4 linked regions of the Mus musculus genome follow. The protein of the gene in region 3 purifies or fractionates together with the protein of the main gene of each other region. This does not show direct contact. Links are inferred from orthologs where the notes say so. Each region holds a gene or a part of one and is shown on either strand. Other genes may lie near its edges.

Evidence for each region.
Region 1: the proteins of Prkar1a (region 3) and Vapb purify together in Homo sapiens (affinity purification with mass spectrometry; 3 studies listed by BioGRID and IntAct, counting the BioPlex papers as one, with this or other methods). This does not show direct contact. The link is inferred for Mus musculus from reciprocal best matches to the Homo sapiens genes PRKAR1A and VAPB.
Region 2: the proteins of Prkar1a (region 3) and Akap11 purify together in Homo sapiens (affinity purification with mass spectrometry; 3 studies listed by BioGRID and IntAct, counting the BioPlex papers as one, with this or other methods). This does not show direct contact. The link is inferred for Mus musculus from reciprocal best matches to the Homo sapiens genes PRKAR1A and AKAP11.
Region 4: the proteins of Prkar1a (region 3) and Dyrk1a purify together in Homo sapiens (affinity purification with mass spectrometry; 6 studies listed by BioGRID and IntAct, with this or other methods). This does not show direct contact. The link is inferred for Mus musculus from reciprocal best matches to the Homo sapiens genes PRKAR1A and DYRK1A.

Annotation. Positions count from the first base shown.
Region 1 is NC_000068.7:173,774,991-173,780,163, forward strand, and holds part of Vapb (vesicle-associated membrane protein-associated protein B), read left to right. Parts: intron 1-1,121; coding exon 1,122-1,298; intron 1,299-3,072; coding exon 3,073-3,231; 3' UTR 3,232-5,173. UniProt on the Homo sapiens protein: Endoplasmic reticulum (ER)-anchored protein that mediates the formation of contact sites between the ER and endosomes via interaction with FFAT motif-containing proteins such as STARD3 or WDR44.
Region 2 is NC_000080.6:78,515,570-78,520,742, forward strand, and holds part of Akap11 (A-kinase anchor protein 11), read right to left. Parts: intron 3,328-5,173; coding exon 3,211-3,327; intron 2,652-3,210; coding exon 2,604-2,651; intron 889-2,603; coding exon 754-888; intron 1-753. UniProt on the Homo sapiens protein: Binds to type II regulatory subunits of protein kinase A and anchors/targets them.
Region 3 is NC_000077.6:109,649,065-109,654,850, reverse strand, and holds the start of Prkar1a (cAMP-dependent protein kinase type I-alpha regulatory subunit), read right to left. Parts: upstream 3,903-5,786; 5' UTR 3,778-3,902; intron 3,510-3,777; exon of another isoform or gene 3,408-3,509; intron 1,096-3,407; exon of another isoform or gene 1,073-1,095; 5' UTR 1,067-1,072; coding exon 890-1,066; intron 884-889; exon of another isoform or gene 507-883; intron 476-506; exon of another isoform or gene 1-475. UniProt on the Homo sapiens protein: Regulatory subunit of the cAMP-dependent protein kinases involved in cAMP signaling in cells.
Region 4 is NC_000082.6:94,567,705-94,573,639, forward strand, and holds the start of Dyrk1a (dual specificity tyrosine-phosphorylation-regulated kinase 1A), read left to right. Parts: upstream 1-2,501; 5' UTR 2,502-2,830; intron 2,831-3,202; exon of another isoform or gene 3,203-3,272; intron 3,273-5,935. UniProt on the Homo sapiens protein: Dual-specificity kinase which possesses both serine/threonine and tyrosine kinase activities. Exhibits a substrate preference for proline at position P+1 and arginine at position P-3.

The sequences.
Region 1 (5,173 bases), on a different chromosome or scaffold from region 3:
TTGGCCCCAGTGCTGCTGGCATTTTGTGCTGGATTGGGAGCAGCATCCTGTGTACTGTGGAGTGTCAGGCATGAACCAGACCCTGCTCTCTAGACACTAGGGGTAACTCCAGTTTTTTTGTAGACATTGCTGTATGCCCACTGCCCCTTTGAGAGCCCTTCTTTTCCCTTGCTTCCCTGGCTGCCCGCTCTCCCTGTCGTAACTTCATCTGGACCCTCACTGAGGACCAGTGATGGCAGGAGCTGGGAAGAGGAAACGCTCTGCAGTATTTCTTCACATGATCGTAATGAGCACCAAGAATGCTGTTGATTGGGGTCAGAACTGTGTCGTGTTTTCTTCTACTCTGTAATCAGCTACTGGCATCTTAGTTCTTTGAATGGAGAGAGAATAGCATCCTGTTGCAGGAAAGTTAACTTAAAAGCAGGGAGACATGGATCCTGACCCCAGTCCCATGATAAGTGGACTTAGCCTGGGCTCTGCCTTACAGGCCTCTCCCTGCTGTGGGGGACAGGGTGGAGCTAGATGCCTGATTTTCAGATTGCTGCCTAGAACCTCAGGGACCATCCTGAGTGCTTCCTAGCCCTGCTTCCACTGACTAGCTCATCCTCCAAGAGGGTACCCTCGCTCCTTTTATGCAGGGAGTTTGTGACACCCCCAACACACCCCCTGCAGAACCATGCTGACTCCCGGCCTTGTTGCCCTGCCTATAGGTAGCCTTTGTGTAGCACTCTCTGGGCCTTCTATCCCCAGCCCCCACTGCTGGGATGCTCAGCTCTCCTGCAAAGGTAATTTGCAGCTGATAATTCCTGAGCTTGCACAATTGCAGTATGCTAATTTTTGCATGGCAGGAATTTGATAGTGCAATATGCATGGCCCCTTTTCTCCTCCTTGAAGTATTAGCCTCAGCCCAACTTCATTATTTGCCCTTATTCATAATTTCTAGGGGCCGGTAGCTTTAGATTATCAAGATATTAGATAAAGTGATCCATTTAAACAATAAATGTGACATTGTACAGTGTAGATGAAATGCTGCCTTGTGTCTTGTGTGCCGAGGACGACTTTGCATAGAATCCTTTCTGACATAGCTGGTAACACTTGGGCTTTCATTCATGTCTGAACAGCATGATGTAGAAATAAATAAAATCATACCTACGAGTGCATCCAAGACAGAAGCACCGGCAGCCGCAAAGTCCCTGACATCGCCCCTCGATGACACAGAAGTAAAGAAGGTGATGGAAGAGTGCAGGCGGCTGCAGGGGGAGGTGCAGAGGCTTCGGGAGGAGAGCAGGCAGCTCAAGGTAACGCCCACCCTCCAGGGTCCAGCGGTCATAGCTGGGAAGTGGGGGAGGGGAGCCTAGAGGGTTTGTTTTGTTTCTTTGCATCTGCTTGCTTTTTTCTCCTAAGGGGACATATTTGCAGAGCTTTCTTCCAGTTCTCAAAAGCCAAGGCACCTAACTAGGCTGTAGATAAATCAGGCTGACTGGGGAGGCCAGAGGCTCCCTTGCATGTTACTGTCCACACAGTTTGCATGAGCTCTTGGGTCTCAGGCCTCAGGCCTATTTGCTGAGCGTGTCTCTGGCTGACTTGTGGCTGGAGACCTGTGCATCTGACTGTGGATTTAGCTGATGTGGATATACCTGAACAGTTGAGTATAGGAACTTGAGTTGTAGCTTAAATTCTGGGGCCTATTTGTTCTTAATCTTGATGATGCCACCCAAGCATGTAATAGGTTTCACCTCTTTACCTGCTGTGGCAGCAGATGCACACAGCACACTCCTTTAAGCCGACTCCCTGCATTAGCTCTGAAGGAGATGCAGGAAAATGGCAGCTTGGAGCTGCCCTCAGTGTCTTTGCAGACGCTTCTCTTTAAGTTTCTTTCTCCTTAGAAACAGAGTTCTGCACCATTTAAAGTGATCTATAGGTAGGGATAGCTTCCATGTAAACCCAGTAAAGTAAATGCTGCATTTTGCTGTGCCCATTGTTTTAAAGTTAACCGAATGCTGCAGCTCATTCGTCACTGTGCTGTGATGCTGGCCTTGCCCACGAGCAGAACATCTTTAAAGTAATATCAGAGCCATCATGATGTGCATGTGGGTGGGGTGGGGTGTGTGGCGGGTGCTTTACCCTGCCAGACATTGCCTTTTTGTTTAGTGAGATCTGCTGTGTGCCAGGCGTTGTGGGCTCAGCTATGAGCAGGCTGCCCTGGGGAGCTCCCTGAGAGTGGGGCTGAGGGTGAGACAAGACAGTGACGGTTACAACCCATGTCCTTAGTAGGCCTGTGGAGAGCTGCAGATCACCGGGAGACTCCACTTGGCATTTGACAGATAAGAAAGAAGCAGAGGAAAAGGACGGAGAGTGTCAGCAGTGTGGGGGTCCGCCTGGCGCTGGCCCTGTGCAGAACTGGGGCCTGGGAAGGGCCGTTGGAGGAACCTGCAGGGCCCTTAGCCCGGGGTGGGGGGTGCGGTGGGTTGCAGCAGAAGCAAAGGAAGACAGAATTTCGTTTATTTCCCACCTGTCCTGGGGGGATTGTGATGGGTGTGATCTGGTGTCTGCCTGCCTGAAGACCAGAAGTCACGCATTGGTTAGAAGGCAAATGAAGGTTTTCCACTTTCACTTTTGGGACAGTGGGTGTTCATAGTATGTGTTTAAAAATCGAAGGGACACTTGATTTGGCAGTCACCTAGACCTGTTCCAGACCACCAGAGCTTCAGGGGATGCAGGTCCCTACTGGATAGCTCGCCGTGGGTTGCAGCTTAGGAATAACTGAGATTTCGCTCAGAGATGAGCTGACAGAACAAACTTCAGGGTTCAAGACAGGGCAAAGGTCAGACCTGCAGGTAGACAGGTGAGGCTGAGGCATGGCTAAAAAGCCTGGCTGCCTCTCTGAAGACCTTTCCTTGTGGTTCATGGAGAGATGAGGGGTGTTTTTGGTTGGTGTTGGAGAGAGAGAGAGAGAGAGAGAGAGAGAAAGAGAAAGAAAGAAAAAGCCAGGATGTGCTTGACAGTACGGTTTGGCTGGATTGTGTCTGCCCAGCCCTGAGCTGCTTCTGAAACGTGTCCTTGTTCCCCCAGGAAGAAGACGGACTTCGGGTGAGGAAGGCGATGCCGAGCAACAGCCCCGTGGCGGCTCTGGCGGCCACTGGGAAGGAGGAGGGCCTGAGCGCCCGGCTGCTGGCCCTGGTGGTTCTGTTCTTTATCGTTGGTGTCATTATAGGGAAGATTGCCTTGTAGGGGCCGCATGCGAAGGATGGCAGGTTGGATTGATGGATCTACCACACCATGGGATTCAAATTTATCATAACCATGCGTAAAAAGAAATTAATGTATGACGGCATCTCACAGGTCTTGCCTTTAAATACCCCTCCCCATGCACACACAAATGCACACACAAATATAGCATAATATAATGATCTTTTAGAAAGTTAAAAATGTATAGGGAATGGATGGGGAAAGAATGGTCTGTTGCCGTAGGACGGGCCGTGATTAACCACAGTGGCATCTTGTAGCTGTCACGCTCAATTCGGGTAGGCCTGGGCACGTGTTGCTAGATCACTCTCTTAAAGCAAGAAGCTCCTCCTCGCATGTTGGGGCTGGCCCGTGGGAGCGGGAGTCCTGCAAGGTGGGGCGAGCTGTCTTTTTCTTACCCACGTGGCTTCCCCAGGCCTGCTGTTCTGTCCAGGCATCGTCTCCTCAGGCCTACAGAGCTGCAGGTGCCAAAGTGCATTGCACAGAGGCCACATCTCGTGTACCTGTGGGTCGTGTGGGAGAGACATGAGTGGACCAGCGGGTCCAACACAGGGAAATCCAAGTCTGTGCTCTGTTCTCTTGAAGGGACCAAGCTAAATTACCGCTGGTTCAAGTAGTGAACCGAGTTGTTCTCGGAGATGGCTGATGCACATGTAACCTATTTCATCTCGTGTGTTCCTGCTGCCACCAGAGCACAGGCAGTGAGTGCTGCAGACCGCCAGTGAGGAGCTGCTGCTGTGGGCTCTGGAGGTCTGAGGGAAGGGGAGGGTCTGAGTCAGGAAGTGTTTTGTTGTAGGTCAGTAATAGCTGCCCTGAGGAGGAACGCTCTTTTTAATGACAGTCAGCTCTGGATTACCCAGTCTTCTAGATTGCCCTACCATCCATCCTTCTAAAACATAGGCCAGCCTTGACCTGCCCTTCTCAGGATGAGTGAGTCAGGCTGCAGAGGGTGAAGGGCATAGAGGGGGTGGGGTGGGGTGGGGGAGCCCTCAGCAAATCCATCTGCTGGTGATGAAGAGTCCTGACTGTGAATTAATTTCATGCCATAAAAGACCGATCCAGTTCTGCTCAACTATGTAGCATCTTAAAGGAAGAGATTAAAATAAAGCCCCAAATTAAGAGTCCTTTTGTCATTTTGTCACATTTGCTGTGTGGGGTTCTTATTATCAATCATCGTTAGTGTGCTATGGAAGGTTGATTTTAAAATGAGCTCTATCAGTGGGAAACACATGTGTAATGATTTGACTCTGCACACATCTGTGTACACACGCACACACATATATTACTATTACTTTTATTATTATATTTTGGTTGGCTTCAGCTTAACAGCAGGAGCCATCTCAGGCTGGCTGTCCTTCCCCTTCTGTGACCTTGGCCCTTCAGTGACAGGCCTGAGTCTGAGAGGACAAGCCCATCTAAAGGAAGACTGGCCTAGACACCCGAGATCACACTGCTGCTGTGCCTGAGTGGGCGGGTGGGAGCTGGAGACGGGGGGGGGGGGGGGGGGCACTGGGCGGTAAGCAGCCCTGCCCGCTCTAATGCCTCTTACCGAGTTTCCAGACCCTTTCCGTGTGCCTGAAGGAGGGAGGGTACGACTGAGCTGAGGGTGAGGTCTGAGCTGCCACCTGGCTTCCCTTGCTACACTGAGAGGTTCAGCAGTCTCAGGTGCTGCCAGTAATCCTTTTGCAGCTTTTGAGGGCAGAGTAACTCAGTGCCTCTGACAGGACCTGGGGTGTCATCTAGCTCTACGACACAGGAGCCGGGGTTTGCAAGTGTTCTTAAGGGATGGATGGCTCTGTGTGCCAGAAAAGCTCTTGAGAGGCACAGCCAGCTGCCGAGATTAAAGCGTGTCTGGGAGCTGCCGTGGCTTGGGCCATGGAAGGTGATTGTGTGAACGCTGTCAGAATGCTCTAAGAGGGCCAGAGGT
Region 2 (5,173 bases), on a different chromosome or scaffold from region 3:
CCAGTATTAAAACGTACAATCATGGTTACAGCTTTGATTAAGAACACAAGCCATTAGTTTTTCCCATACACAATGCATTTTAAATGCAGACATTGATAAATGATTTATAAAAAAAAGAAACCAAATATAACAGCTAATTGCCCTTTATGTCCTAGCAAATAAAGCAAGTGTTTAAGACGGAATAACACAATCCAGGAAACAAGGCATAGCTCTAATCACCAGACCTCACAAAGAACAAAGCAGTATTTCATAGCTGGAATAAGTTCTCCAAATTGTAAACATACTCATACAACTGTAAATGTCTTACTCCCTAAAGCCTTTTTCTTTGATACATTATCAAAAATAATTAGTGATGAACTAAAGACTGTTTTATGAAAACAACATTTTACATGGAAGCTCTTTAATCAGAAAGTTAACTGAAGTCCATATTCTATAACATTCAGCTTGCAACACATACAAATGTGGGACGGCCATAAAGCAGGAGCTCCAGTCATACAAAGACATCTGAGCAGAAATAGTTCACTAAAAGTTTGCACACCACTGACAGTACTTCACTGGCAAGAATTTAGTTTATAAGCCATGATCAAAATTATTTTATACTTCAAGGCTGGCAATGCTTTGTGAGTTAGACTTTTCATCAATACCACTTCCTGGAGACTAAATTAAATCAAGAAAAGCTTCGATCACTATTACTGAGCAAATATACTAAAAACCTGCCCTGAAAAAGCAGATGAGAAATGATCCACCAGTTACCTGATTTAGAGGACTACTGCTTACATTGGACGATTTACTGGTATCCTTCATACAAATGATTTCATTTTCACTTAGACTGCAAAAATGGAGCGAATTCAGAAGATCTGGAAGTTCCAATGAAACTGCAGCTAGATCCTAATTTTAAATAACAGTGACAGTAATGAACAATATTACAGAATAGCAATGTCAAGGTTTCCACAATGTTGTCCACTCAAAACTCATGAAATGTACTGGTCAATAAATTGTCTGCTTTGTAACAGCTCACATACATACACAGTTTATCTACAGAGTCATTTTTTAACTCACAAATAAAGCACAGGTTACTTAGTAATGCTTTGTATTGTAGCCTTTCGAGCATTTTGCTACCTCATCAATCTTAAAACAGGACACCTCACACACCCATAATGATCAGCATTTAAATGCTTTTAGTAGTTGTCACCCTCAGGTCTTCTGGGTTGATGCTGGAGTTTTTCATATAGAATTCTTAGCTACTGAACACCCTTCTTCAGAGACTGAGTTTTATCTCTTTAAAATATAAGTTTACTTTTTCCAAAGATATTGTAGTAAGCTTTCAAAGAGTTTATGCAGGTTTAAGGAAAGCTAGCTTTCTTTTCTGTTACCTTTTCTTTTGCCTTTTCTTTAAAAGCATTTTTTCCAGCACAAGGTTCCCTCCAGTCTTTGCCCCCGAAGAATAGAGGCTTCGTACAGGTGGTCCTGTCTAAGCTCCTGAGGGCCAGAGAAGGTGTGCTGTTTGTTTTGTTTTTGAAAGAATGTCACTCTGTAGGTGAAGCTGGCCTGGAACTATGCAGCCCACGCTAGACTCTAACTCACAGTGACACTCCTGCATCAGCCTTGCAAGTCCAGTTCTATATTTGCATGTTGTTCTGGAGAGTATGCCCTCTCTGGTTTTGCTGTCCAGGCTATTTCCTTCTGGCCATGAAAATCAAGACAGACTACAGAGTTTGCAGGTATACTCACCAGAGAGAACTAATACAGAATTGCTAGTTTTCTAGCAGCAGCACAAGGAAAACCTATCTGCAGTGATTTGTGCAACTTTCAGGCAACCTTTCATTGATCCTAACCTCAAATATCAGTCCCCCTATAAATGTCTAAATGAAATGGGCTATAAACTTGTACACAAATCTATAAATATGCAAAAATTGAGAGCTTTTACAAATCTGATCTTTTATATTTAATTCTACTTCACTAAAAATATAAGAACCTTACTTCTGAAATCAAATTGTGAAAGCCATTAAAATATACAAATGTTACATGCAATATAATGAACAGAATGAAATAAACAGCCTGTGGTTTAAAGATTTCAGATAAATGATTTTAATTGTGAAATCTAAATCTGCTTTCCTTAGCAAGATTTATATCAACAAAAGCTAGTGATGGTAGCACACAGTTGTTATCCCAGCAGTTGGGAGATGGAGGCAGAAGCTTTCGACAAGTTTAAGGCCACAGCAAGGATATCTGACAAGACCTTGTCTCACAAATAACAACAAAGGAATTCTTAATAAAAATACTGAAATTAAAGATGTACAGGCCACACTCAAATGTTATCTTTGTTTTGAGGGGATTGGGGTAGGGACAGAGACTCACTACGTAGCCCTGGCTGGCCTGGAACACACTGTACAGACCAGCCACTGGTCCTGAACTAAAGTTCAGCCTGCCTTTGCTTCCTGACTGCTGGAATTAAAGGAATGCACCATTATGCCTGGCTTCAAATAGCATCTTTTAGCTTTAAAAGATACCTTATAATCAGTGTAAAATTTGAGCACTAAAGTTTTCAGTCTTCAAAATTTAAGTAGCCCCCCACAATCTGCCATTCAGTAAACTGGCCCCACCTGTATATGAGCAGCATCTGTTTCTTCATTAAAGCCCAGAAACGTGACCTGAATTTAAAAAAAAAATCTCCATTAGTTTACTGTGTTTAAGTCCTGGGTCAGAACGTGGACAAGGCACTAAACACTGGGCAGGGCAGGCAGTGTTCCTAATGACCAAGGTTTCCACCACACTGTAGCTCTTGAACCTCACCATCCACCTTTCCCGTGCCCTCCTCATCCCCATCGTCACTGCCATGCACTCTTACTTCCGCCATCACTGGACTGTCCACTGCCATGCCACTTGTCCGTTTGCCATGGTTGTTAATAGATGCCTTCAGCCTGCCCCAATTAATCCCAGATTCACTCCAACCCCATACCCACCTAACATGGTGTTACCATTAAAAAAAAAAAAAAATTCAGGTTCAATTTGTGTTGCCCAAATACTCTCCATTATGAGGCCTGTCTTGGAGCACGGTCAACCTACAAGTCATACCCTCAAAATAACCCAACTGCTTCCCAATCACTAGTATTATGTACAGCTTTTAAAAACAGAGCCTGAAGTTATAAGAAGACCATGAAAACATATTGTGCACAATTGCAAAAGGGTTCAGAAAGTCATATGGCAAACCTCAGTTAACTGGGGGTGCTCATCCTGGTTTAAACACTCTCCTCCTGATACACTGCATAGCTCCTTCTCGCTCTGTAATAAAGACTTTACAGACCGGAACACATCTTCACTGAAGCTCTGTGGAATAAATAAGCAAAACAATTTAACTCTAAGACAAGTAAGAAAACTTGCAGATATTTGAGTTTTACAGTTACTCATTCACCAATTAATATTTTTTAAATTATCTGTTAAGCTCAATTCTGCTGAGAAAAAAATTCAAGTTCCTGGAAAACAATACAGACCTATACTCCAGATTCACTTATACTTACCTCTTACACCAGTGCTTCTCAACCCTCCTAATGCTGTGACCCTTTAATACAGCTCCTCGTGCTGTAGTGACCCTCAACCATAAGATTATTTCATTGCTACTTCATAACTGTAATTTTGCTACTATTATGAATCATAATACAAATATCTGGTATGTAGGATAATACAGATGTGACACCCCCCAAAGGGGGTCAAGAGAGAACAGGTTAAAAAATCACTGCCTTACACTAAAATTAGCAAACTGCATATATTATTTCCAAGTCCCTAACAGAATAGAAACAATTCGTATACTGAGTGAAATGATGTAGCTAGAAAAGGGTACATTAGCATCAACTATTCTTCCCTTAAAAGACAGAGAAAAAATTAACTAAAAATAAGACTTCCTAGTGGTCTTAAAGCAACTATATAACAAAAATAAGAAAAATAAGAGACTCCGTGTCTGGGAAAGAAAATTGTCAAAAATGCCAAGTGCATGCAGGAGACAATGAATATTACAGTCGGACAGAAAGATAACACTAACTTCCCACTAACTCCAGTATTCCTCTTCTCATATGTGGCCTGCTCTCCTCACCTGTGGGACTGCCTTACACCACAATCCTGCCCTATAGAACCCTATCACACCAAGGCTGAAGACGATGTCCTCACCCGTCAGTCTAAATTTCTCCTTTACTGTTTGCAGATTAAGGTTACTTGATCTGTATTATAACATATTTTAATTACAATATTCATGTGTATATCTTCTCTGCCCACTGAACTGTATCATAAAAACTGTAATATTCCATTCACTTCATCTCCTCACACTTTACATCAAGTCAACAAACAGCTGCTAACCATAAAAAGTTCATCTAACTTAAATCTGTAATCTAAGAGATAATATTAAGGAATTCAAGAAAAAGCTATGTAACGTTAAATTTCAATCTCACCTATCAAGATGTGTCTATTATTTTTAAAATACTACCTTTTCTAATGCAGGGTCTTAGAATCAATAACCCTCAAGTAGCAATAAGCAGATCGCATACCCAGATTGTGGTTTCTAAACACAAACCAGCAATTAAAAGAACCAGAGCTCCTCAGAAAAATGTCTGGTTCCAGATCCTGGACAGAGAGAACATACAAAAGAAACTATACCATCTAACTGTGCCAGAATACAGAGAAGCGCTCAAAGGCTAAATTGGGCAATTTCAAAAGAACACAGAAGTCACTGTATTACTCAGGAATCCCCACTGGCTACATCTGGAACAAGCAGGGCACCAAAAAGAACAGAAATGGTAATGCATCCTAACTTCTGAGTTCAGTCATAGTGTTCTTTGCCTATGATTGCTGGATGACAAATAGGGGCAAACTGATTCCATTAGAAAATCCTCTTTGTAAGGCTAAACATACTGATTTGGAAAGAATTATTAGTATATCCTAAATCTATGAAGTTAAAAGCTATTGGGAGACAGGCTACTCACATTTCTCAAACTATCATCACATAGCTTCCTTACTAAGCATTTAATCAAAGTTATTCTGCATTTATATTGGAGACAGCAGATGGTTACAACCTTGACCACTTCCTCAAGAGCACTGACGATATTACCTCCTGACCCGACACGGGAGCAATGAAGACCAGGGAACCTCTGAGATGTTCCTGATAAATTGTACAGTAAAAACCAAT
Region 3 (5,786 bases):
TGGAGGCTGGAGAGAAGGCTCTGTAGCGAACAGCACTTGATGCTTTTGCACAGGACTCAGGTTCAGTTCCCAGAACCCACATGGTGACTCACTGTCATCCCAGCTCCAGAGGAGCAGGCAAAAACAGTCACACATAAAAATAATTAACTCTTTAAAAAAAGAAAGACGTGAACATCCTGTGTGTCTGTGAGTCACACTGACCCACACAAAATACAGATGCAACAACAAAGAATCAAAATCCAATTGCGTATTTTATGGGGAACAAGCACTCACTAACAAACAAAATGTTAAGCATAGTAAACATGTGATAACCATCCATCTCCTATCCCCTTTATACAACAGTTAATTCACCCAACAGTAAAACCAGAGTTCAGAATCTGTCAAGCTTAGTCCACCCCAAGCTAGACACACACCTATTTCTATAGTGTTAAACTAGACACACACCTATTTCTATAGTGTTAAACTAGACACACACCTATTTCTATAGTGTTAAACTAGACACACACCTATATCTATAGTGTTAAAGGTGGAATAAACTAATAGCTCGCCTGCTTGGTAAAGGAAAGCATGAACTGCCTTTAACTAACTCTCAACTCACTGTCACACTACTTTTGATTGATTCTGTTAGTCTATTTTCTGTATTATTTCAAATAGCTAAAAACAACAACCATCAGGAAACCTGTTTTAGCCACACAAGCAGCATCAATTTGGTTTCTGGCAACTTCTAATTAAAATTACTAAAAAATCCTTCACTGCATGATAATCTGAATTTCTGCTTGACTTACTTGGCCAGAACCCCTCTTGCCCGAAGTCACACATCAGTTGACATTCAGAAGCTCTAAGCACAGCAACTGTCATGGTCATCAAATCGCTCCCTCATGAATTTTACCTTCTCCAACCTCTCAAAGTATTCCCGAAGGAATGCCATGGGCCTCTCGGGCCGCGTAGTGCACAGCTGCACGATGGAGTCCTTCAGCAGGGCCTGGATATTGTGCTTCTGCACATAGAGCTCGCATTCCCGGAGACTCCGCTCTTCCTCACTGGTTGCCATACTGCCAGACGCCATGGTTCTCTGGGAGACAAAGAACACACATGCTGGGTAAGCTAGAAAGCACAGATGCAGATCTGGCCTGGGACTTACTTAAATTCACGAGACAGCAGATTCAAACATTTCTTTACTCAACAGCATTTGTGTTTAAAGAGGAGGTGGGGGTTGGATATAAACTATCCCAAGTTTCTACTGTCTCCGCTGGGCAGGTCACGCAGAGAAGACCCATAGCTCCTGGGAGGAAGTATGAGCCAGCGTGCCTGCCCTGCTGAGCAACTGAGGCAGTGCTGAGGCCCCAAGCCCTCTGGAGATTTCATTCAGTTCTCTTGCAAAAGACATGACGATGATGACGTGGGAAGTATGTAAGTGGGAAGCAGGTCAGAGAATTACAAGGGCACACAGGTCGGCTCTAAGTGAAAGCACAGCTCACAAAGAACACCTGACATTCCCCTGAGTGCACCTCCCATCCCATGAGCGCAGCTAATGTCACAGCAAACCACAAGGGCAAAGAAGCTGATTAGCCAAATATTAGTGGAATCGAATTTTCTGAAACACAAAAGCAGCCTCGGGTGCCTTTCCTCAGCAATCTTTCATTCCCTTCTTTGACTAACTCTGCCCGTGACTTAGAAATACAATTACCAGCAGAAAGAGTTGAAAAGGCTGTACTAGAGGAAAATAATCTCTACCAAGCAAACTAAGATTTTCTTCATCTAGACAGGAATATATTAAAACATGCTAGTTTACAGCTTACAGGATGACTCAATAGCTAAAACTGAATTTGAGCAACATTAATATGAAATAGAAACACAATAATGGGCAGCCAAGCTGCCTCAGGACTAAAAGCTCAGTACTTTATGCAGCTATTCAGTTTTCCTCCTAACTCCTAATTACTAAGCACTTGAGATTAGAAGATGACGCCCTCTCCACTCTGCATACCAATTCCACATAACCACTCTTCAAATTATAATGCTCACAGACCCTCTAAGGTTAACCTGTGAGTTAAAAGATAAGGATAAGGAGCCATTTTAAAGTGCTGCACTAATGTTTTGTTTTGACAGTTTTCAAGATAAAGGTCAATAATATGCACGCAACAGACCAGGACAAAGTTTGTAGCTCCATGACAAGCACAGAAAGAAATTAGAAGCCACAGACAGACAGACAGACACACACACACACCACCGTCAGTTCAGAAGAAACACTGAAGGGAAGGTTTCTACTGTCAGATATCGTTTGTTCTTGTTGTGCTTCCAGGTCAGAGCACGGAACGAGACAAAGAATCCACTTCATTGGAACTTTCTCCATTTCAAATACTGAAGGCCACCAGGAACGTGGATAAAAACAAATCTATTATGCTTCGAAGCATCCAGCCATATTTCAAGAATGTCAGCACATATATTTAACTGATCAGAGAAATCCCTCTTAGATCCTGTCTCTGGCTGGGAAGGATGGCGCAACTAGGGCTGATAAGTGAAAAATGGTGTATGCATTACAAAGACCAAAAGGCAGGCACTGGTAAAGAAAATACAAACACCAGTCATCATGTGAAACGCCAAATAATCTAATTTTATGGCCTTAGGATTTTTAATCGGGTATGTCTTGGTTCCACGTTTGTATTTACTTTTTAAAAACCCCACAACTTAGCTTCTCTCCAAAACAAACACTAAAACCATCATCACTGCATCGAGTATTCGTAAGAAGGGGGATTCTTGAGGAAATTCGGTTCTGATGACACTCTTGCTTTCAGAAGGACTATACTGGAGGACATATTTAAACCGCCTTTGGGAGCCTGTTGCTGACAGGGCCCACATCTAAAGGATGCCAAGTAACACTAACACAGCCTGGGGGGTGGGGTGGGGGTCATCATCTAAATGCGAGCCTTCATTTCTCTGCTCAAGAAACCTATCTATCCTGGCTCCCTCAAGTCATCGGCTGTCCCCACACCCGCTCTGGGCTGGAGTTAAGGGTTAACGGGCGCCGCGTATTTTCACGAGGGAGGGCAGGAAAGTGCCCTTCACTTCACTTAGGCCACGGTCATGATCACTGAGAGCAGCAAGACGGCCCCTCATCCCCCACCAGGCAGGAGGCCGCAGACGTGGAGTGGAGCGGAGCGGGAGGCCTGGGGAGGCTGGGGTGGGCGGTGGTGGGGGCTGGAAAGGACGAGAAGTGTTAGGGGGACAAAGGGAAATGGAGCTAGGCTGAAATCACCGAGCGGAGGGGTGGAGGGAGACGAGCCCGCGAAGAGGAGGGGGGAAGCCAGGGCAGAAGAAACGACTGGGCAGAGATGAAGACTACAGCCGAGTGGCGAGGCTAAGACCGAAAAGCCATGGCGGATTCCGGTTTAAAAAAAAAAAAAAAATACCGAGCTCTTGTCCTTCAGGAAGTGGGGGAGGGAGGACGGGCGCCGAGGCCGCGGCGCGCGGGGGCGGAGGCGGCCGGGGAGCCGAGGGCAGCGCAGGACCGGGGACCCGGAGACACTCAGGACGGGGGCGGAACGGCGGGGGGCAGGGGCGGCCTACGGCCCCGCGGGGAACGGTGCAAGGGCGGACCCCGGGGGACAGTGCGAGGCCTGCGACAGGCCCCGAGGCCGCCTCGGAGGCGCAGGGGGTGCGGCCGTCCCCCCGCAGCGCGCTCCCCGGGGCGCCATCTTGGCTCGCTCCCGCGCCTTCAGGGACGCGCAGCGGAGCGCCGCGGCCGGCGACTCCCCGGTCAGGCCTCGGGCCCGCACTCACCTGAGGGCGGGCGGCGGCACGAGCAGGGGCTAACGCAGGGCGAGGCGGCCGGGGTGACCGAGCGTCCAGCGGGCTCAGCTCGCAGCCTCACTACCACTCTGCGATAGCGGCTCGGCGACGGCTCCACCGGAAACCAGCCGACCGCGGCCAATCAGCGTTCGGCTGCTGACGTCAATGCGCCTCGCTCTGGCCAGGGCGGTTGCCTTGGCAACCTTAAAGGCGCAGACGCCTAGGATCCTCCTCCAACCCCATCCCCACCCCCCTCAAGCCCACCACCGGCTACTCCCACCCCCTACCCTTAGCCCGTCGTCATCTAGCTAGAACCGTTCTCTTGCAGGGCACCTCTCCATCTTTATCTTGTCGCGTATACGTAGCCCCTTCATCGCTCTCATCTTTTTCCTTCTCTTTCTGCTAACCCGTTTCTGTCTCCTTTATTGTCCCTTCCTTACCAGGTGTGGTGGGGGGTCCTCTAGATTGTTTAGCTGTTCGGAGATCTCAGCCTCTCCTCGGTTCCTCGGTGGCTCTTGCGTCTGCCTCCCTCCACGCCTCTGTCTTTTCTCCCTCCCTTCGACCCTCCTACCGCAGACCCACGTGGGACGATTCGGTGACAGGTGGGCGACTCCGCCCTGGGTGCTATGGGACGGCAGGGAGGGGGATGGGGTTACAGGACGCTGGGCGGACAAGGAGATCCCTGCTGTTGGAAGAGGAGGAGGCCCTAGCGGATCTACCACAGCTGAGCGCAAGCGGATGCTGAGATGCTCCTGATGGACAGAGCGCGCATCCTGTGTAGACCCCCGCAATACCCGGGGTTCCGGACTCGGGCCTGTCATCCGGTCCAGGAAATCTGAGCCCCTATCAAGCCTCTGCTTGGCTAATCTGACTACTGTCTCCACAAGTGAGCTGTCATCAATGGAGGCCCTACCGTGCCTACAGAAGCACCAGATGTAGGGAGACTTCCAAGAGGAGCCCGGAGTCCTGATAATGCCCTAGCCTCCTATTATGCCAGACTGCGTCATGGGCAGTACAGACAGATGGGCAGATCAAATCATTGACCAAGCAAGAAATCTGAGCTGCATGAGAAAACAAGAGAAAAGGCGACTTCATTATTCCTTCAGTCAACTTTCCCCTTAAGTATGTGAAAATGAAAGCAAGGGACACAATTTTAGGCATATGAATTAAATAAATAAAGTGGGCCTAAATAAATACATAAATAAAATAGGCCCCTGCAGTGTGTGGTTCTGAGTAGCTGCAAGGTGTTGACAGCCTCATCGTGTATGTGCTAGGGCAATGTGCGTAGAAAATATCACGGATTTAACACTTAGTACCAAAAAAGGTTACAATATCTCCTGCATAATTTTCACAGTGATCCCCAGTTAAGATATTTGGGTTAAGTGGTGTTTGTAAATTTCACCTTTTTAAGCCTGACTTTGTCTTGGAATACCCAGACTATGATAAGGGCTCTGAACATTAGTTATGATTACCCCCCCTAGTAGTCAGAGGAAGGAAGGGGGAAGAGAAGGAAGCCGCTCCCTCTGCAGCCTCTCACCAGGATGTTGATCAATGGCTTCTTTTCCAGAGATGGGTAGAGTGGAAGATTAAAGACCGAGTCGCCATCATGCAGGCTTTCCCCCTCTCCAGTGCTGATAAACCCAGCCCTAAGCTGGCAAACGGGAGAGGGAACTGGATAGCACTGAGCATGCCCGGTCGTGTTCTGAAGAAAGGAAGGAAAAAAAACAAAACCACCCACTGCAGATAAATCTGTTTGTTTTCATGCTTTGCCATCTCCTGTGAGGAACTTAATCTCCTGGAGCTTCATTTTCCTGCATCTCGAAGGGATAACTGGGACTGTATTAACACTGACGAATAAAAGCAAACAATCGTAGAGCACCTACCTCATGTGTAAACTGCCCTAGATGCTTCAGACAGATAATCATTCCATGATGTTATCGTTTTGGAAAGAGCATGACACAAGAGGTTGAGTGGCCATAGCGTGTGTGGGTCAAACCCAG
Region 4 (5,935 bases), on a different chromosome or scaffold from region 3:
CACTGCGTCCCTTGGTTGTCACAGGCCATAAATGTGCAGGCCACTTTATAGGTGACATCCATATCCAATACTTGATAGCATTCCCAGCCCAGACATGACAACTCATTGACTGGTGTCAGGTAAGGCTGCCATGGTACGGGTTTGGGAGAGGGGTCCGTCTCTTAGATACAGGGATCAACACTGCCTAAGCTCGAGTGTGCACAGCCTTCAGACTTTGCCTCACACGGAGTGGCTTCCAGCTTGAGCTCTTCCTTGACACCCTGTCATAGATGGCCAGTGTTACCCAGGTTTCCCCTTTACCAGCTTTCAAACATTTGATGGGGATTTTAGTTTTTAGCGTTGTGCTGGAAAAGAATATCTGGTCAATGGGGTGAGAAGCCTGGAGGTGAGGCAGGAGGAGGAACTGGAGAAAGCTTGTGTTTGGGAAGGACCTGGTACTAACTTCTGTGTAAGGGACACTCTTGGACACTTCAGTTTCTTCAGATTAATTACATTGTTTGTGGACTTTAATTAAATTATATCAACAGGGCAGCCAAACGTATGTTTGTCAGACGCTGGAAATGTTTTATATCCGAGGCAGTCTAAAGCAACTTACTTTCCTTCCTGTGCCCTAATTTACTTTAGTTTTTGCCCCCCCCCCCTTTTTTGTAAGTTGAATAGGTGCTTTAGTATATCAGTGGTGTGCTAACTATAGGAGGTTTGTTGGAAATCACCGAAGCCAAGTGTTTCCTAGGATCATACTGCACAGAGACCAGTATTGACTGGTGTTTTTACATTTGTTTATAAGACTGCATCTGTTGCAAAGAGCTTAAGCAAAACGTCAACACCACTATGGTAAAAACCATGTGTAGAAATAAATCCAGTTACTTTTGGTGTGCAACAGTGTATATACTTACACACGAAAATATCTTTATGTATATCCTTTTAAGCTACTAGCTAACGCCATTATTTTAGAATAGGTACAAAATACAATTTTAGCCAGTAGCTGTCTCCTAATTACAAAGTAGCCAGCACAGGGGACTTCAGTGTCAATGGCCCGAGAGGACACCCAGCAGTATTTAGCCAGGCGGAAGACAGTAGAATAAAAAACAAAACAAAAAAACCGAAAGGCAGAATTCCGGTGAAGATTCGACGGTTAAGGCCAAGTGGGCAAATTTAAGAATCGGGAAACCGAGGTGACTTAGGACAGGTAACAATAAAAAAAAAAACAAAAAACAACCCCCCCCCCCAACCCCCTCCGAAAGCCCTGGGGTTGGCGCTGGCTGGGCATTCCGATGGAGAAGCCGGGGAACCGGCGCCCGGGAGCGTGCCCAGCCTGGAAAGTTTCTGCGCGGCCCGCGCGCGGGCACGGTCCGAGTAAGGTGGCGGCCGCGCGCCTGCAGCCGCGGGCGTAATTCCGGAGGTGAGCCGGACGCCAGCGATCGTCCAGGCCTGCGCGGGCCCGGTCGGGATAGGGGCTCGCGACGGCGGCCTCCCAGGGCCGCGAGGTGGGCGGCTTGCCCTCCGCTTCCCTTCCTTCCCGGGCCGCGCGGGCGGGGCTGCGGGCTCGCGGCGCGGGAGCGCGCTGCGCCACGGGGGCGCGCGCTGGCCCGGCCGCAGTCGGCGTGGGAGCGAGCGCGGGGGCGGGGCGAGGCGGCCGCGAGGCGGCAGGCGCTCGCTCGCTCGCTCGCGCACCGGCAGGCCACCGCCTCGCCCCCGTCCCTTCCCTTCCCTTCCCTCCACTCCCCTCCCCCGAGCGAATCACGCGCCCTCCTCTGACACTCATAGCGGGCCCGAGCTCCGAATTTATCCTTCACGTGACCTGAGGGGGGTTGGGTGGTTGGCTGGGGGACGGAGGAGAGAGGGGAAGGAGGGAACGGAATCTGCCGTTACCCGAGCAACAGGCCCCGCCCGCCGGCTTGGGGCCGGGAGGGGCGGGCGGAGGACGTCAGCACGTCAGCCGGGGTTTTGCGTTTTGATTGACAGTTGCTATAGCGACCGGGTCGGTCCGTCGCCATTTTGTTGGTTGGTTTTTTTTTAAACCCTTTCGCTTCCCGCCCGAATAATAATAAAAAGCCCCATTGGAGTGAGGCGGGGGTGGCGGCGGCAACCGCGGCGGGGGGATCCGGGGAGACTGCTGCCGTCGCTGCTGCCGATCGCGGCCCAGGTCGGGCTGAGAAAGCGGACTCCCCGAGCGGGGGTGCGGGCGCCACCGCCGCCGCCGCTTGTGCTGCTGTTCCTGCTGCTGCTGTTGGTGCCGCTGCCGCTGCCGCCGCCGCCGCCGCCGGCGAGCGGGCGGGACCGGTGTGAGTGTGAGGGAGCGTGTGCGAGGGCGAGTGTGCGCGCGGTGAGTGTGCGCGAGTGTCTGTGCGGGATCGGGGGCGGGCGGTCCGGGCTCTCCTGGCGGAGCCGCCGCCGCCGCCGCCGCCGCTCGGGCCCCGGCGCTGCTCGCTGCGCAGCTTCGGAGCGCGCGCCATTTTGTGAGATTTACAAAAATCCTCGTCGGGAAGAAGCGGCCGGCAGCGGCCGCCACTCGGCGCCCGGCCTCGCCGCCGCCGCCGCCCTCCGCACCGGGCCGGGCCGGGCCCCGCCGCCGACACTCGGGGGCCCGGGGACTGCGGTATTTGCCGGGGAGGGGCTGTCGCCTGCCTCCCCGGCCGCGGGCGCCGCCGGCCCCGCCAGCCCGACGGACCCTGAGCCAGCGCGGCTGCGGCGCGGAGCCGGGACGCCGGGGGCGGAGAGAGGCGGCCGGGGCGGCGCTGGCTGCGGAGGCCGCGGCGGGAGCGCGGCGCGGGAGCTCGAGGCTGAGACTCACCGGAGGGAGCGGCGCGAGCGCCCCGCCATCGTCCCGGTGAGTGTCCGCCCCGCCCGGCGCGGCGCGGCCCAGCGCGCGGCTTCTCGGGGCCTGCGAGCCGGGCTCGCCAGGCCTCAAGCGGAGGGAGGGAGGGACCTGCCATCTTAGGAGCGAGCGGGCGGGCGGGCGGGCGGCCCGGGGCCCGGGGAAGAAGGCCTCGTCCCCGAGGAAAGTTGCGGCGGGTGGGACCCGCTGCCTCGGGCCGGGCCGGCGCCAGACCTCCACTGGCTGCCCGGGCGCAGGGGAGGAGGCTGTTCTCCTCCTCCTCCTCCTCTTCCTCCTCATCCTCTGCCCCCAGCTCCTCCCTCGTCCCTCCTCTCGGTCCCCACCGGCGTGCGGAGCGCCGGGGTTCTGGGCAAGGACAATGCACGGGATCAGAAAATGGGGCTGGCGGCCGGGAGGCGAGGACGCAAGGCCCGGCCGGGCCGGGCCGGCGAAGGTCGGCAGCCTGCTGCCTGCGAGGCCCAGTGGGCCCGCGCTCGGGCCTGGGGACCTGGTGTGCTCGGAAGTCGGGCCGCGAGCGCGGGCCACCCAGGGCACCGGAGGGGCCGGGGTGACCTGCATAGCAGCGGGAGGAGACTGGAATTAGAATGGAGACCTGTGTATCGCCTCAAAACTTCAACATCTATTTATAGGCTCAGACCCACTCAGGCTCCAGAGGCCCCAGAGCTGCTGAATATCAGCACTAAGCTAGAGGCCCCTCCCTACCCCGAAATAGTTAAAAATGGCAAAATTCGTGAGTCAGTGACTCCAATGACTTGTCTTGTCTTTGCCCAGCCCTAGATTATGTGACTCCTGTCGTCGAGGTGCAGCATCGTTTGCTTCTTGAGTTCTGCCAAATCCCAAGAAAATATTCCTTGTAACTGTTTGCACACTCATAGATTAGTGCAAGGCCTTTTATATATTACCTCGAATAACCTCCCAGTTGGAAATGCTGCCCATTTTACAGATGAGCAGACTGAGCCTAGAGGTGGGCAGTGACTAGTCCAAGGTCATACAGCCAGTACTCCAGGAGGCCTATGTCAGTTGTTAGCCTGGCTTTCTGTTCATTGGCTCCTAACTTATTATTAAGTACTGTATGATGACTCAGGGCTGTAACCTAGACTGTTTGGGTACAGGTTTTGGTAGAGTTAATTTAGGGTTTGCAGAAGTACAGTTTAGATGAGCCCCTGTAATGAAACTTGTCATGCCCCCCCCCCCCCAGGTAAACTAGTCTGTTTTTCAGTGGAAGAATTGAAACCACTGGTGCATTTTGTTCTTTGCGTTTAACTGTTACAGTGTAGAGTTCTTTTTGCGTATTGATAAGTCATAAAGTTTGGTGTGAAGTTATTTTTTATTTAAATACTTACATTTCTCTTTTGACACTGTACTTTGCACGTTAAGAATAACTATTAGGTATTTTGATTTGAGATGTTAATGTAGTGGAATTATCTTACTTTTTGTTTGTTAAATTTTTTTTAATTGTCTTAAAGAATTACATTTTTAAATAGACTGTAAGTGGGAGACAGGAGCTCAAATTTCACTTGTCAAGGTTTCAGAGGAATAGTGGTTAAGAAGATTTATTTGCATATGTGGATTTTCAGGGTGCTTGTCTTACAGCACCCTGCCCTTCGGAGCTTCTGCCCTAGCACGGCGGTGGTGTCTGTGGTACTGTCCAAAAAGTTAAAACTCTTGTCAGCGTCTATACCAGGTACTCTGTAAAAATGGCAACAGAAAGTTTGTATTTACCTCAGAGAGGCATAAGCTCAGAAATTGTTCTAGAAGGGCTGCTCCTGTGTCTGTAAGGCAAGGACACACATTTTGTATTCCTGGTGGATGATGAAGATTTTGTTGTCTTTTGAAGGAGCAGAGTTGAAGGGATGGTTGTTATCTGTAAGGATAGGAAACTGACTGACTGAGCCAGTGGAGCTTCTTGAAGACACTTTGGTGTGTGACCTGTTAAAATTGTAACCTCTATGCTCTGTGCTATGCCACTGCTATGTGCTAGGAGTTGAAAAATAAAATACCATTCACGAGAACATGGATAGTCAAAAAGACCCTTGGCTAGAGAAGTCTCACTTGAGAGTTCTACTCTGTCACTGAGTTTTCTTCGTGGCTGGACTCCTGTGCTTGTGACTCACAGATGGGAGTGACTGACAGTGTGACAAGTCTGTGCTGTGCAGTGCAGTGACTGAGGGTAAAGCTAAGATGGCTTGTTTCAGACATGGCATGAATTCTGTCATGGGTGTTATTATGTAACTGTCAAGGAAAGAAATACTGTATGTGTTTACTTTGGGTATTACTTTAAACCATTTTTAATAGAAATTTAAATAGCACAGAGATGTTACAGAGTTTATGGTTGGCAAATGTCTGTTCCAGAAAGAAATTTTGTATAGAATCTTGGATGACCAAGAATCATTTTGTACTGCAGGACATAGCTACATAGTATACATAGTTGGACTCCTAGAGGGAGGGCGGGAGGGAGGGAGGGCTTCATTTCTGAATCTCTTGCTACTTGGGGATGCTCTTGTTCGCACCTGCCAGCCAGTGTCCCTCTTCCCAGTAACTTCTCTTCTACCTCTCAAGAAGGAGCTTAGCCCTCAGACCCAGCAAACACCACAAGTTTCCAGAAAGTCTGTCAAGAACATGGCTCAGCACTTGCAGCTGTTAGTTTTAAGAATTCTGTGGTATTTCTAGACAGTAACTTGGCCCTAACACTCTATTTTGTGTTGAGTGTTTTGGTGGGTTTCCTCCATTTGTACTTGTCTACTTTCGACTTGGGAACAGATCTCTTGCTTGGACATAACAGACAGGGTCACCTGTAACTTCACAGTTTGCCTGTCACAGCTGTAGGACCAGAGTAGTAGTGTATGGAGTGGTATGTCTTCTGAAGGCAGGGACCCTGTGCTGTCCTACCCATTGTCATGTTTGATGGCAAGACAGTCTGTGGGAACTCATAACCCAGTGCTCGCATAGGGTGGGATTACAAAATATGGGGATTAAAAATTGGTGTTTAATTACTTGGAAAAACTTATTAAATTATTTTAAGTTACCTAAAGTTGTCCCTAAATGAAGGAATCTTTTGAAATTATGCTTCACCTCAACTTCATAATGTTAAGCTGT